Diceros bicornis minor: one gene and its partner. The protein of the gene in region 1 interacts with the protein of each later gene in a pairwise test. Links are inferred from orthologs where the notes say so. Each region holds a gene or a part of one and is shown on either strand. Other genes may lie near its edges.

Evidence for each region.
Region 2: the proteins of DACH1 (region 1) and FGF12 interact in binary tests that used the Homo sapiens proteins (3 or more experiments, as listed by UniProt). The two-hybrid records come from large-scale screens. The link is inferred for Diceros bicornis minor from reciprocal best matches to the Homo sapiens genes DACH1 and FGF12.

What each region holds. Positions count from the first base shown.
Region 1 is NC_080748.1:52,105,661-52,112,582, forward strand, and holds the start of DACH1 (dachshund homolog 1), read right to left. Parts: upstream 3,054-6,922; 5' UTR 2,533-3,053; coding exon 1,709-2,532; intron 1-1,708. UniProt on the Homo sapiens protein: Transcription factor that is involved in regulation of organogenesis. Seems to be a regulator of SIX1, SIX6 and probably SIX5.
Region 2 is NC_080754.1:32,517,061-32,524,254, forward strand, and holds the start of FGF12 (fibroblast growth factor 12), read left to right. Parts: upstream 1-4,140; 5' UTR 4,141-5,620; coding exon 5,621-5,819; intron 5,820-7,194. UniProt on the Homo sapiens protein: Involved in nervous system development and function. Involved in the positive regulation of voltage-gated sodium channel activity. Promotes neuronal excitability by elevating the voltage dependence of neuronal sodium channel SCN8A fast inactivation.

The sequences.
Region 1 (6,922 bases):
CTCTTGGGCACGCGCGCGCACATACACGCGCGCGTTCTCAGTATTCACCCAAAAATAGTAGAAATGACGTTCAAAACCCAAACACACACCCATGTACCCCGTGCAAAGAATGGCAGATAAACACGGAAAAGAGTTTCTGGCTAGGTCGGGATAGGACCTTTGCTGGGTTGGAGTTTGAGTCTTTTTCGTCTTACAGCCTTCTAGGGGCACTAGCCAAGAGTCTTCTTCCATGGAAGAAGTAGCTAAGGGCTTTTTCACCCCGGTTTCCTTCTGGTCTCGTCCTACCCCTCTTTCCTTCCCATCTCAGTTTCCTTAGCTCTACTAGGACAGACAATCTAAAAGAGTAAAACTCCTTTCCTTCTCCCGGTCGTTAAACTTATTTGGAGGGTACCGAAGTCGCCGCGCATTCGCGCGGAGTTCCCACGCGCCCGCTTCTGGTCTCCAACTTTCCCTACTCGCTTTCTCCCGGCATCTCTGAACTTTTCCCTCTGCGGAGAATGGTGGGGCAAGGCGGAACTGGGAAAGCGGGTGGAATGATCATTTCTACCCCGAAACTGACAAGTTACCCCACTCCCGCCCCCTCTTGGTAGATCCTCCCCCAGTGAGCGTTCATTAGCATAAAACTGGTCTGGCCGGGCTCCCGGTCCTGCGGCCTCCAGGGTTCGCGCGCTTTGCGAGGCTGGGGAAGCTACGGCACCGGGTATTCAGGTCCGCAGAGCATCCCAGTGCAAAGCCTGCGCCTGCTCACTGCGTGCGCTACTAACCTTTAAAGAAAAAGAAAAGAAAAGAAAGAAAGAAAAGAAAAAAAAACAGTTTGGTGGGAGAGAGAGCGAGCGAGGTGTGTTCTTCTTCCCCATCTTTGCAGTTCAGCTTCCAAGAGTCAGGCACCCGGTCACCTCCCCCTACAGAAGGAAACCTGCTAGTCCCCTCTCGAATCTGCCCTGGGGCAAATGTGCCCCTTTATCTCCTTTGCACACGCACACGCTCACACGCGGACACAAGCACACATGCGCGCACACACAGACCCCTCCCCTCGGCGGGCTTTCTCTCGGGGCTTCGGGGCTGAACTGGCTGCGGGTCCCCCGGGATTGCCCCAGGCCTCTCAGCCTCTGAGGTCGTTCCCCTCTCGACCTGGAAGCGGCCCACTCCTTAGGCTTCCTCGCGGGCCCCTCACCCGAGAGCGTCTTGGCGCTCCCCGAACCCTGCCGGGCAGGGTCACGACCTCTCCCCGCCCCCGGGACGCCGCTCGGCGCCGCCAACCAGCCCCGCCGGTGCCCTGCGGCTCGCGGTGGAACCCGGGTCCGAGGGAGCGCACACGCGGGCAGCAGCGCTGCGAGGGGTCCCCAGACGCTGGCGCGGCCCAGGAAGGGGGCTGTGGCTCCCGTTAAGGCACCGTGCTCCTCCTTCCCGCCCCCTCCGCCCCGAGGCTTGGGGTTCCCGCGTCCCACAGCAGCCAAGCCCCCGCGCCCAGGCGAGCAAGGGGCGGATCAGGCCGGAAGAGCGGGATCTGGGCAGGGTGAGGTGCCAACTTCCTAGACGGTCGAGAGCGGCTGGAGAGCCCGGAGGAAAGGGAGGAGAGGGCCGCTTTCGCCGGGGCGCGCGGCTCGCGGGCGCGCGGAGCAAGCGGCGCCGGGAAGGGAGCGAGGAGAGGGCAAGGAGGCATGTGGGAAGGGACCCAGGGTGGCGGAGGCTGTCCTCCGCTCTTTACCTTGCGTTGGTGCAGTCATTGTAGAGGGTCTCGAAGTCCTTCCTGGAGATGAGTTTGCAGCGGTTCACTCCAGGCTGGATGGCGCCCAGTCCCCTCAGGATGCGAACCTGTTCCACATTGCACACTACGGGCGTGATCTCCAGCCGCTTCAGCTTGGTGTAGACCGTGTGCAAGCCCCCCACCAAGTGCTTCAGGAACAGGTCGAAAGCCTGGGGCAGGCAGATCAGCTCGCAGCCCTCCACCGTGAAGGAAGCCACTTTGGCCCCCCTCAGATCCACCATTTTGCACTCATTATTCTGGGGGGTGTTTTCCACTGGGGACGGGGTCGAGTACACGGGTTTCCCGGGGAGGGGGCCGCAGCTGCTGCTGCTGCTGCTACTGCTGCTGCTACTGCTGCTGCTGCTGCTGCTGCTGCTGCTACTGCTGCCGCTGCTGCCGGTGCTCGCGTTGATGGGGGTGCTGGAGGCGCCGCCGCCGCCGCCGCCGCTCGCGGGCACCAGGCTGGGGTTGCAGTTGCTGCTGCCGCCGCCGCCGCCACCGCCGCCTCCGTTGCCCGCGCTGCCGCCGCCGCCTCCGCTGCCGCCGCCGCCGCCGCCGCCGCCGGTGGAGGTGACTGTGGCCGCCGCCGCCGCCGCCGCCGGAGCGATGGGCTCCGGCCGGAACAGAGTTGGCCCTGAGGACGCCGGGGGCCCGATGGACGGAGCCGGAGACGAGGTCGCCGAAGAGGTGGAGGTGGTGGTGCCGGAGGAGGAAGCAGACGTGGAGATCGGGGGTTGAGGGGGGACCAGCTGGGTCGGAGGGATCAAAGCCGCCGGCACTGCCATGGTCACATATAAGGGGAAACAGAAGGAGGAGAAGCGAGGGGAAAAGTTGCCACACACCCCGGGGAGGGGAAGGGGGAAAATAGGGGGAGAAGGAGCTAGGGGACAACAACAACAACAACTCCGGGAGAGAACGAGAAGGAGCAAGAGAGAGAAGGGGGAAAAAGGAGGTGAGGGTAAGAGAGAGAGAGCGCAGGAGGGGCGAGCGCGAGAGGCGCTCTGGAGAGAAACGCACAAAAGTGTCCCGCAAGTCGAAATGCGAGTCCTCTCCGGGGGCTGGGATCGGGGGCTGGTTTGGGGGGGGGGGGGGCGGGGGCGGGGAGGGTCGGCTGTTGTTGTGTGGGTCCCGCTCTAGCACAAAGTTAAGGATGAAGGTGAAAAGGAGGAGGTTTGAAGGACTTGGGTTCTCCCTGGCAAGTACATTGATCAAAGATTGAGAGGGGAATGACAGAGAGAAAATGAGCTGAAAAGTGCAGGCTGCCGGCTGGACGAGTTGTTGTTGTCACACGGTGCAGAGGGGAGGAGCTCCGGAAACTTGAAATACCCTTTGAAGCCGCAGAAACCTCACTCACTAGTATTAACCCAAATTATCCAACCAGGAACTCGGAGCAGAGACTCCGAGAGCGCGAGACAGAGGAAAAGCGAGTGAGCAAGGAAAGGAGGAGGGGTGGGGGAGGATAAGGAAAGAAACTATGGGAGGGACGGAAAGGAAAAGCCGGGGACACAGAAGTGGCGATCGGAAAAGGAGAGGGCGATCTATTTCTCTTCTACTACCGTTAGATTGCATGTCTAATAATTCCATTTCGTCCGCGACGACTCGTCATTTTTTCCAAAACCTTCTAAGCAATCGCCTGCCAACTTAAAGAGGAGCCAGAGCGCTCCGAGGTCTCCTTCAAGGATTTAGGATGTATCTCCGCTCGTTTTTTCCAATGAGATATCAATGAAAACATCCCCTCACTTCATAATTATTAAGAAAGTATTTTGAGGAAAATTCACATGTAAGCAAAGCGTTTGTTTTATGCATCTGATTGTTTTTATCTACCTATTAAATTATTTATTTTTATATAGATAGTGAAAATTCCAGGACAGTTTTCAAGTTGTGGGGAAAAAGTCAGTTTGAAACCGCTTAAATATAGTGGAATGCTCTGTATTTAGTTCGTTATTTCCTGAGAGATTATGGAAAGAAAGAATTGCTTGCCCTGATGTGGATCGCTCACAATAACTTCACTTGTGCCCCAAAGGCTGGTCAGAAATGCTTATTATACCAATACCAGACTTTGAAGAGACCAGGCACCCTTGAAGATTTAGAAAGTGGAAAACAAGAAAACACTGATTTTTCTTACTGAAAACTCGATAATTAATTCACCTGTCTTGCACAGTAACCAACTATCTTCACGTCCTTTAAGACCCAAGGCTAGCTGCTAGTGTTACATGAATAACAATATTTTTTTCATGTTTGAAAAGTATCAATATTTTGGGAAAGTTCTTTTCGATTTGTCAGTGAAAATGTGTTTTGCAAATAATGAAGAAAACAAAGCTGGCTAGCTGACCACAAACAGCGCAGCTCTGCTTCAATACCACACCAGGCTGAATGGAAACTGCCTCTCTTCCTCTTGGCCTTGCTCTCTTCTTTTCTTCCCTTTTCTAACTTGTTGCATGGAGGTATTTATTCAAGGATCTTTGACCAATATATGATTTGAACATAGATCAAGTCTGTTCTCTGTTTATAGCTCTAGGAATCTTAAATAATTAGGCTTTAAACCTGTCTACACATGTTCATTAACTTCACAAGAGAGAAACAATGCTTTAGCACTTGACAGATTTCGAAAATAAACTATTAACATCAGGTTCACAGTGTTGGGAAATTTCATAATGAAGTTTCTGCCATTTTGATGTCGAGATTATTATCATATTTCTCTTTATTATTTTAATTCTTTCAACTTTTTGAAGTTTGATGTCAAAAGGTGCAGGGAATGTCTACAGAGAAATAGGACACTTTTGACTAATTTGTGTAAGTTTCTGCTAAACTTTTTGGGGCATAGCAGTCATATCAGGAGGCCTCAGAATTCAGAAATTTGAATTCAGAAAATTGATTTTGCTAAAAAGTAGATAAACTTTTACAAAGATAACTAAACTTTACACAGTTGTTTGGCCTAGTTACCCAATGTATTTTAATATATTCAGAAGTAAGTTATATTAACTTCTCACTCCTCATATCTGTCCGCAATTAAAAATAGGAATTTGATATATATTCCATACATCAAAACACGTCTTTTAAGTGTTTATACGTGTTTTGGAAAATATTACCTTTTTTAAAAATGCCAAATTACTATGTTAATGAGCAGAAGACAGGAAGAAGATATTAAGCCCTGAAAAACTAATCTTCTTTTGGAATTGCATGCACAACTTTAATAAACTCCGATATAGTTTTTAAAACGCTAAACTACAGTTTCTTCATTTTAAATTCTAGACCCACAAATGAAAAAATCGAATTTAAATGCTGAAAATCTGCCCTTAGCATTCTCATTTCTCACATTTCCTTAAACTGTCACTCAGCCTGTACCTGCCACATTTGGAAGCCACAAACAGGGAGTAATGATAGCTCACTAAACCATAATCCCACCCTGCGTCCAAGCAAACTCCGAATTTTCTGCTGGGAACCCTGCGCCTCCCAGCACGTGCTCCATTCAGAAGCAGGGCTCGGGGTGTCTGCCCCCACCTGAATGGAAGCTTCCCTCCCCCTGCGCCCCCCCACCTCAGGTCTCTAAACCGTCTCTAGGAACTACCACTTACCCCTTTAACAAACAATAGGATTAGAAAAAGCATATAATGCAAATTAAAACACGTAGGAAAGAAAAGCCTCAAAAAATTTTTAAGATTTCTTTCTTCCTTTTTTTTTTTTTTTTGAGAAATGTTACCAGTGATTAAGGCAAACAGTATTTAACAACCACAGATAAATCAACTAGAGACATTTCAAATTCTCACTGTTTCCATTGCATCTTTAGCTTTCAAAGCTTTTGTCTTGTTTGTTTATTGTTTTTACATTTCTGGTTGTTTCAGGTCCTCTCCCTCCACCTCATCTTCTCCAACCTGCACTCAATTTGCATAAGCAAAACTCAAAGTACTGTAACTGATATTAGAAAATTCTCCCTGTGTTTTGTGAAGACGTATTGTGCTGAAATCAATAAGACTGTTTAAAATTCAAAGACCTGCAAATCGTTCTGTTTGTCCTTTGATAGGGCCTGTGCTGATTAAAATGCTACCAAGAAAGCTTAATTGCTGCACTAATTAAGAAGTCTTTAATTTCTTTCCTAGGATATCGTTTGAAGCTGAGCTTGTACCAGTTCAGGGAAGGTATTTTCTTCCCTCCCTCTGCCTCCTCCGGGCCCCTCCTCTCCCCTCCCCGCCCCCCTCCTCCCGTGTCCCCGACGGTATTCCTATGAATGGGAACTAATAGAGAGAGTGGACTCAGGTCTCACCATCTATTAGCAAAAATCGGCCCAGGATACAGAATTCAGTGCACTATGAAATGCAGTTTTGAAAAGTGCTGTAAGGTTGCATGAGACAGTAAGAAAATAGAGAGTAGCTGTTGCAGCAAAAGTCCCAGTGAATACCTGGATGACAACAGGCACTTTAGCCCGAAGATGAGGGCATCCTGTTTGGTTAAAAGGGGCAGTGACAAGGAAATGCTTTTACTGAAACAGGGAAACGTAAAAGTTATGCTTTCAAAACCTGTGGTTTCAAAACGAAGAATAGATTGTAGAAAGGTGGACTTATAGTTGGGATTTGGTAAGGATCATTTTATTTTATGTGTATAAAAACATGAATTCTATGGGGATTTATTTTTGACCCTTTTTATAACCCAGGGAGGCACAGCACTGTGTTACATCCATTCCATCCTTATCTATTGACCTATTTTTATTCACCGATTTCTCAAGTGGGGAAACTGACTAAATGATTTCACAAAGCTTTCTCTGTAATCAATAGTCATTTTTTAGCTTTATTCATGCTGCATTATAATTCTGGTAAATGACTGCAAAGCAGAAGATTGTAAGAAAGATACAAATATTGACAAAGCCAGGATAAGTCATGTCTTTAAGTCTTCAGAGTTTCAATACAGCAATTGATATAGTTATTTGAAAGAAAGATTGAAAATGCGTATTTCATAGAATATAAAAAACTAAAATGATTCAGTAACTTAAAGGCAATAGCTATCTGAATGTGTTTCTTGAATATCTTGAAATTTCCTGAAAGCTTTGAGTATCCTCTTTTTATAGCATCACTAAGTGAAACAGAAACAATTTGGGCAGATGCAGAAAGGGCAACAAGAAAAGGTTCATTACAATTTTATTCTTTTAATTTTTTCCCAAGTTCTATTAGAAGCATGCACAGA
Region 2 (7,194 bases), on another chromosome or scaffold:
GCAGAGCCAGGCTCCTTTGTGTTCCCAACAGACAAGGACATTGACAACATTCAACTAATGAAAATTTTGTTTGCCATTACAATGTCAAGGTTAATCATTCATTTCAAGTAGACTTCCAGCCTTCGTTAAATACATTATGTCCAGGAGTGAATGATGATGTGTATGAATCACAAGGTATGTTTTCCTGTTTTGGAAAGTCTGAATTTTATAGCAGGGACTTGATTTAAATGGATATTTTAATGACAGCATGCTCATTCTAATACTTTACATTATTATCACATCTTCTTTGAGCCCCGCAGCAGCCCAGGTGGATTAGGACTGCTAATCATTACCATTGATCCATTTTGCAGATGTGGTTTAGAGAGATTAAATAACTTGTCCAGTAGCATACGGCTGGTGAGTGATTAAGACAAGAGCCAAATAAGACCATGATGGCATGAACTGTAAGCTTGTTGAGGGCAGGGAGAATGTAAAGGTGTATAGAGTTCCCCTTGGTAACCGAAAGAGAGCCTTGGATGCAATCTGTGCTCAATTCAAGCTGTCAGATGAATGGCTGCGAGAGTTCTAATAGTTTGATTTGGGAGTTGGGAGACTTGGCCTATGAATAAGGAAAGACTATTAAATGTTCTGTATTTTTTCTTTCTAAAATATGAAGATTATTAAGACTGTCCATGTTTTGTTTGTTTGACTGGAGGTCAGAAATATAAATATAACTATATAATTATCTTTTCAGTGTGTATCTGGCAACTTCATCCAAAGTAATTAAAACTGCTTCCACTCATAATGTCTTCAGAATTATAAAGGGAAATTCTCAAGTTGTCAATAGCCTAAAAATCAAGGTATCGTTATCCATGAGATGTTGCTGTTTAAAATAACCTGATTGTTTTACCTAAATCATCAGTAGGTTGATTTAATCTCATTCCTGACTGCAAAATGCAAAGATACTGGAAGTGTCCTAGTAAACATGGAGGAAGACTTATGAGATTTAGTGGCGAGGTAGGAAAGTTATGAATTTCTGGATATCAAAAAATTTAGTATTGCTTCTGATCTCAACAGCCATGTCCATAGGTCCTACATAATTTCTCAAATTTTCCTATACTTACCTCTTCTTCTCATTGTTGAAATGGAGTAAATGATGCTGATGATGACTTAAAGGGATAAACAGCTAAAATGCACTCTGACAAAAGCTGCAGGAGTGCAAGGGAAAAAATAAGGTCTTTATTGTCTAATTGAATTGAATACACCACATTCTTTTAATAGAGATCTAAAGACAGGAATAACATTACTCTCAGAAAGCTGACATTTATTGTTTTCGTTTTGTTCCTTAAATGCCTAACTTGATGCTGTCATGCCAAGACAGAGAAGAGTACTTCAAACAGTAACTGCTATCTTCTTTTTCTTGTGTTCTCCGTCACCTTCTATCCTATGCTGCTACATTGGTTAGTTACCTTCTGCATCAAAACATCTTCATTTCTCATAAACCCACAGAAAAAAGTCAACACACTCAAAGATCAGAGAACACACATTCTCTTTCCAGGCCTTTTTTTTGGGCACAAGACTGTAATGTTGGAGAAATGTGCTAGATTTTGAGAGTTTTGAATTTATTTCTCCCTTCTAGTGTTATCTACATTATATATCTACACATATAATGTAGGTAATGTTTATATATCTATAAAAATTTTATATTTGTTTATATAAATGTTTATATATATATAAAACATTCAAACTTTGACACCTGAAGAACTTGTTAAAAACTCAAATTCCTGCACTCTACTCATAGAGATTTCTGCTTCACGTTCTGAGAAACCATCAGGAATCTGCCTTTTCAAAAAGCATTTCAGAAGAATATCATGCATTTTCTTAAAAAGAAAGTAAACACTGTCATCATCTCTTTTACTCATTTGGCATTTTCCAGTTCTCCAAATGCTTGCACATACATATTCAGTTCTGTGAGGTAGATGGGACTGATTATCCCCATTTTGAGGATAAGAGGCTCAAATTTAGCAATGATTTCCTCAGGGCCTCACTATACACCCTCCCTCCTGCCCATTTCTCTGGGTTCCTCACCTTAGCTGACCTTTGTCTTTTTGAGTGTTGGACTGAAAAAGGGAAGGAGCCCCAAAAGCCAGCCAGTACTGTCTGTGCCCGCCTTCCTCAAGAATGAGACAAGTCTTCTGGTAGCCAAGCAAGGAAAATAATTTTATCTGTGGAATGTGAACATTTCCCTAATTGACAGTGTTACCAATTGATTTGAAGTAATTCTCCTTGCCCCATCCAGATGCACTTTTGAAAATGTATGCAGCTGGCTTCACTTTTGGAGGAGTGTGTATGTATGTGTGTATGTGTATCTTTTTCACCTGTCTTGTTCTGTATTGTTAGAATCCCAAGTTCACTGTCATTCAGCTACACTGAACTGGTGCAGGAGATGTGTGCTCTCCCCTGTCAGGGCACCTTGCCTGTTTAATCCTCCTCCCATCTGTCTGCCCCATAAGCCCCTGTCTGCCTGTGTTATGCCAGGAGGAGCAGGAAAGGTCCAGGCCCCCAGACACAGTAGGGTTGTTTGACACTGCTTGATCTAAACAACCTCACAGGTCTTCATCCTTCTCATTGCCTAAGTGAATTTCTGCTAGGCCCACAGGTTTGTGCCCACGTCTAGAGAATTCCTGGGGCTTCTCCAGGTCCCACATCCATTTTCAGCAGCTTCCAGGGCCTGCATGTTCCATGATCTTTATTAGGGTGTTTCCAGCATACACCTGTCTCTGCTTGGAAATGAAGCATTTAATCTTTTGGCACTACCCTTGATGCTTAGCCAGGTGTCTGTGAAGGGAACGGATTTGCAGACAAGTTGAAGAGAGATGGTGAGTATAACTAATAGCCACTTCCAGACCTTAGCATGACTGGAAAGTGATTACTCCTTTTAGGTTTCCAGAATCTTTCATGCTGCATTTTAACTTGGGTGACATTATCTCCTCTGCTGAGTTCTCTGTAACATCCAGCTGTCATCACAAGCACTCCTGGAGACCTGATTGCACTCCAAAGCTGGTTGTTGACTGCCCTTGCCCACAGTCACCCTCTTACCCCACCTCCATTCTCCTCTCTGTGCAGGGTGCTCACTTGGTCCCTCATTTTAGTGATTGAGTCTGCTTTGCAGCTTTCTGGATAGAACCAAGAAATCTGAGTTCCAAGGATGCAGAAACACCTTTTCCGGTTCCAAAATGAGCTGACAATGGGGCCCAACATGAGGGCATTGTTACTTTCTCCAGGGTCCACTGCCCGCCTTCCTAAACAGAGAATTCTGTGTGCCCCAGCTTGCCGGCGGGAGGGTGGACCGCTTTCTCGCAGGTCCCCCACCGCTAACCCTTTCTTTGCGCCCCGCCTTCTCTGTGCACCCAGGGTCCTTTAACCGCCTGGCTGGTGGTTTTCTCTTGGGGGAGGGACGGGACGGAGCGGACCCGAGCTGCAGTTCCCTTGCTCTGCCTCTGAGAATTTCTCATCCAAACCTCAATCACGTAGGATTGCGTAGAGAGGAGAAAAGGGGAGAGACAGAAGACAGAGAAGGGGGAGAGGGGTGACGGGAGGGAGGGAGGGAGGAGAAGAGTCTGGGAGCAGAGGGCGTGAGGGAGGGGAGGAAGACCCGCGCGCGCTGCGCTTCTCTGCGCTCCGGGAGCCCGGCCCCCCGCCTGGCCGCACCTGGGCGCTCTGGAGCTCCCGGGCGGGTGGGCGAGCAGTGCGGGAGGTACTCCGCGGCCGCCGGCTCTTCGTCCCACCCGCCGCCTCGGTGGCGGTCTTCCCTGCCAGGAGTTTCCTGCGGAGCTAGCGCTCCAGCCGAGCGAGCCGGCCAGGCGGCGGCAGCTCGGCGCGCCCAGAGCCTCAGCTTATGAATGGGACTCTGCCCTGAGCGCTCCCTCCGGGGCGGCTGGGGGCGCCCGGCTAGTCCGCGGCTCTGAGCGGCCACCCGCGCAGCAAGTTGGGCGAGTTGGCGGCAGCCCGCACCTGCTTCCTGGCTCCGGCCCCAGAGCCTGCGTCCGGCCCCGAGGGCCCCGGTTGTGCGTTCGGCTGCCTCCTGCCGTCGCCGCCGGGGGCCTAGGGGCCCCGCCTGTTCCCCCGGCGCCAGACCATGGTGGGCAGCCTCTGCCCGGAGCCGCAGCCGCCTCGAGCCGACGTCGCCCGCAACCAGCCCCCGCCCCACCCGAGCCGACCCGCGGGGGTTCGCAGCGCGCCGGTCACTTCCTTCCTCCGCCGGGATGGGCCGCGCGGGACCGAGTGATCGGCCTCGCGTCCGGCCGGTGATCCTCATCTGATCTGCTGCCTGTGAGCTGCCGACTGCCGGGCCGCGCGAGCCTGGGGAGCCCGGGCAGCGCGGCGATGACCTGATCCCGAGCCCGCCAGGGCACCCCCTCCTTCCCTCCTTTCCTCGCTCCCTCTGAGCCTGTGCGGAGACTGGCTCTGTGTGGCGGCCCGGGCGGACCATGGCCGGGAGCTCCAGTTAAGGGCGTGTGGGCGCCGAGCTGGAGAGGACACCTTCGGCATCGCTGCCTTTTGAGGGGGCTTATTTAAACTACTGAGTCATTCCAGATTTAGGATTCCCTAAATAATCACCAACTGTGCCGTCTTGTGCCAGAAAGCAAGCGGAAAGAGAAAGAGCGCCCGCTCTTGGGACCCCACGTATCCCCGGCGCTCGCCTCTCACGGGTTTCTCCCCGAGGGGTGCTTGGCCCTCGAGGATCTCCCTCCCTCCCTCCCTCCTTCCTTGCCCGTCCCTCCTTCCCTCCCCCCTCCCTCGCCTCCCGCTCTCTTCGCAGCGCTGCCGGCGGGGAGTCGCGCGCACCGCAGCTGGAAACAGCTGCCCCCGCCCCGCGCCCCTACCCCGACTCCGGCTAACCGCTCCCACTTCGCGCCTCTCGGAATTCCAGAACTCGGGCGGCCAGCCCCTGGAGACCCGCAGCCGGTGCGATGCATTCCGTAGACCTTACCCAGCCGGGACTAACCTCCTAATCTCCAGAACTGCGGGCCGCAGGGAGTTAAATTGCTGCCTTCCTCTCCTTCTCTCTTGCGGTTGGTGGCTTGTTTTCTAAAGGAACGTTTTATTCACTTTTTAGTATTTTCTACCGGGGTCACGCTACCCGCCTCGGTCCAGACTCTGCTTTGTAAACGGGTTTTATATGTATGTATGTGTAGATATACTTTGGACACCTTGCAACGCTTGCGCCTCTCCAACCGGGGCACGGCTTGTTGTTTTGGACATCCTTCTTCCCCTTCCACTTGGTACTCCGATCGCAGTGTGACCAAACACCCCACTGCCTCTTGGACGCGGATCGCCTTGGAATGCAAGTTTGGGGTGCAAGAGACTAGTTAACAGGAAGGCCTGGGACCGCCCCGCCCCCGCCGCCAGCGGTTGGGAAGTTTACATCTGGAATTTCACACATTTTGTCGCCACTGCCCAGACTCTGACTAACCTTCTGGGCGCCAGGTTTTCGGTACTGCAGCCTCCTCAAATATTAGCACTGCCTCCCCGCATCTGCCCTGTCCCTCCCGGCCGCCGAGGTCCTGCCCTCGCCCCGGCGGAGCGCGATCCCGAGGGCGCAGTGGAACCCGGGGCCTGGGGCCCGCGCTGAGCAGCTATGGCTGCGGCGATAGCCAGCTCCTTGATCCGGCAGAAGCGACAGGCGAGGGAGTCCAACAGCGACCGGGTATCGGCCTCCAAGCGCCGCTCCAGCCCCAGCAAAGACGGGCGCTCCCTGTGCGAGAGGCACGTCCTCGGGGTATTCAGCAAAGTGCGCTTCTGCAGCGGCCGCAAGAGGCCAGTGAGGCGGAGACCAGGTCAGTAGAAGCCCAGACAGTGGGCTCCCCAGAGGCTGACAACCCCCTCCCCTTCCACAAAGAACCTGGGGGCATCCATGGATGGGAACTAGGATCCTCCTCTTCCATTCTGGCACCCCCTTCTCCCTTAATTTCCAGATATCTCTTTCAGTCACTCTCTTTCAGTTAATAGCTTCTTGTCCCATATTCAGGAAAACACTTTATACATTGATGAAACCACGGTTTGACTAGGATGAGAGTTACATGTATAGATGTTCCTGGTCTGGTATAGCCTGTAGAATCCTGGCTGTGACCACCTCATTCTCTCCCTCTCTCATCCATCCATCCATCCATCCATCCATCCATCCATCCATCCAGTCCTTATACTGCCTACTGAGGACCTAAATATAAATAAACCTTCCTCCCTTTATCTTTCACAACATTTAGCATAGTTCTTGACACATTATAGACACCTAGTAGATACCAGATGAACTTAAATTTATTTTCTTTTTCTAACTCTTCTGCCAGGAACATATGATATTGCATCTTTCAGACATTGTAATTTCTCACCTCCCTATTTTCCCACATATCCTTTACATAAACCTTTTCCTTTCTCTTCCTTCAAGTACTCTCGTGATTCCAAGGGCTCTGCTCATTAACTTTTCTGTCCTATTACTCCCAGCATTTGCACACACATTTACTTTTGGGACATTAAGGGAACAACGTAGTGTCTGCAGTTTGGCCTCAAAAAGTGCAAAGAAAACTTTAGACTTATCAGAGATTTTTCTTGGCATGGGCTTTCTGCAGCTGATTCTCTTCTTTCGCCCCAAACTCAAATGGTTGGTCTTTGATGTGTCTCTATTGACAAAGGGAAATTGGACATCTTGAGTTTCAGAGTGAGTAATTCCCAGCTTAGGCCGGGCCAGCTTAAGAGAATGAAAGCAGAATTGCCTAGGTCTATGCTTCCACCAGACTTTGTTGATCCTCTGGGTGTGGCCCACAGAGTCCTTTGCAATCTGTAGATATTCTGTGCTTACTGTGTACAACTGAAAGGAAATACTGTTTAGAAAGAAAGCTTGCTCTGTGATCAGTTGACCGGTCTAGCTTATCCTCTTTGCAACTCTGTGGTGTTCTCCTGGGTTCCAGGAATGAGGCATATGGGCTAGTGTCATTGGGGGGAGGAAAACACTTGGAAAGTCTGAATGAGCGGGGCTCAAAATTAGTTTAGAAATTTGGGATTAAGTCTTGTGAAGAAGTCATCTCATCTCATCTTTCTGTTGGGTTTTCATGATGTTATTCACGCCATAGTGGGCTCATTTTCCTATTCTGAGATGTTGATAAAATAGTAAATTTCAGGATTAAACAAAAATAACTGTGATCCCAAAGCAGGAGCTAC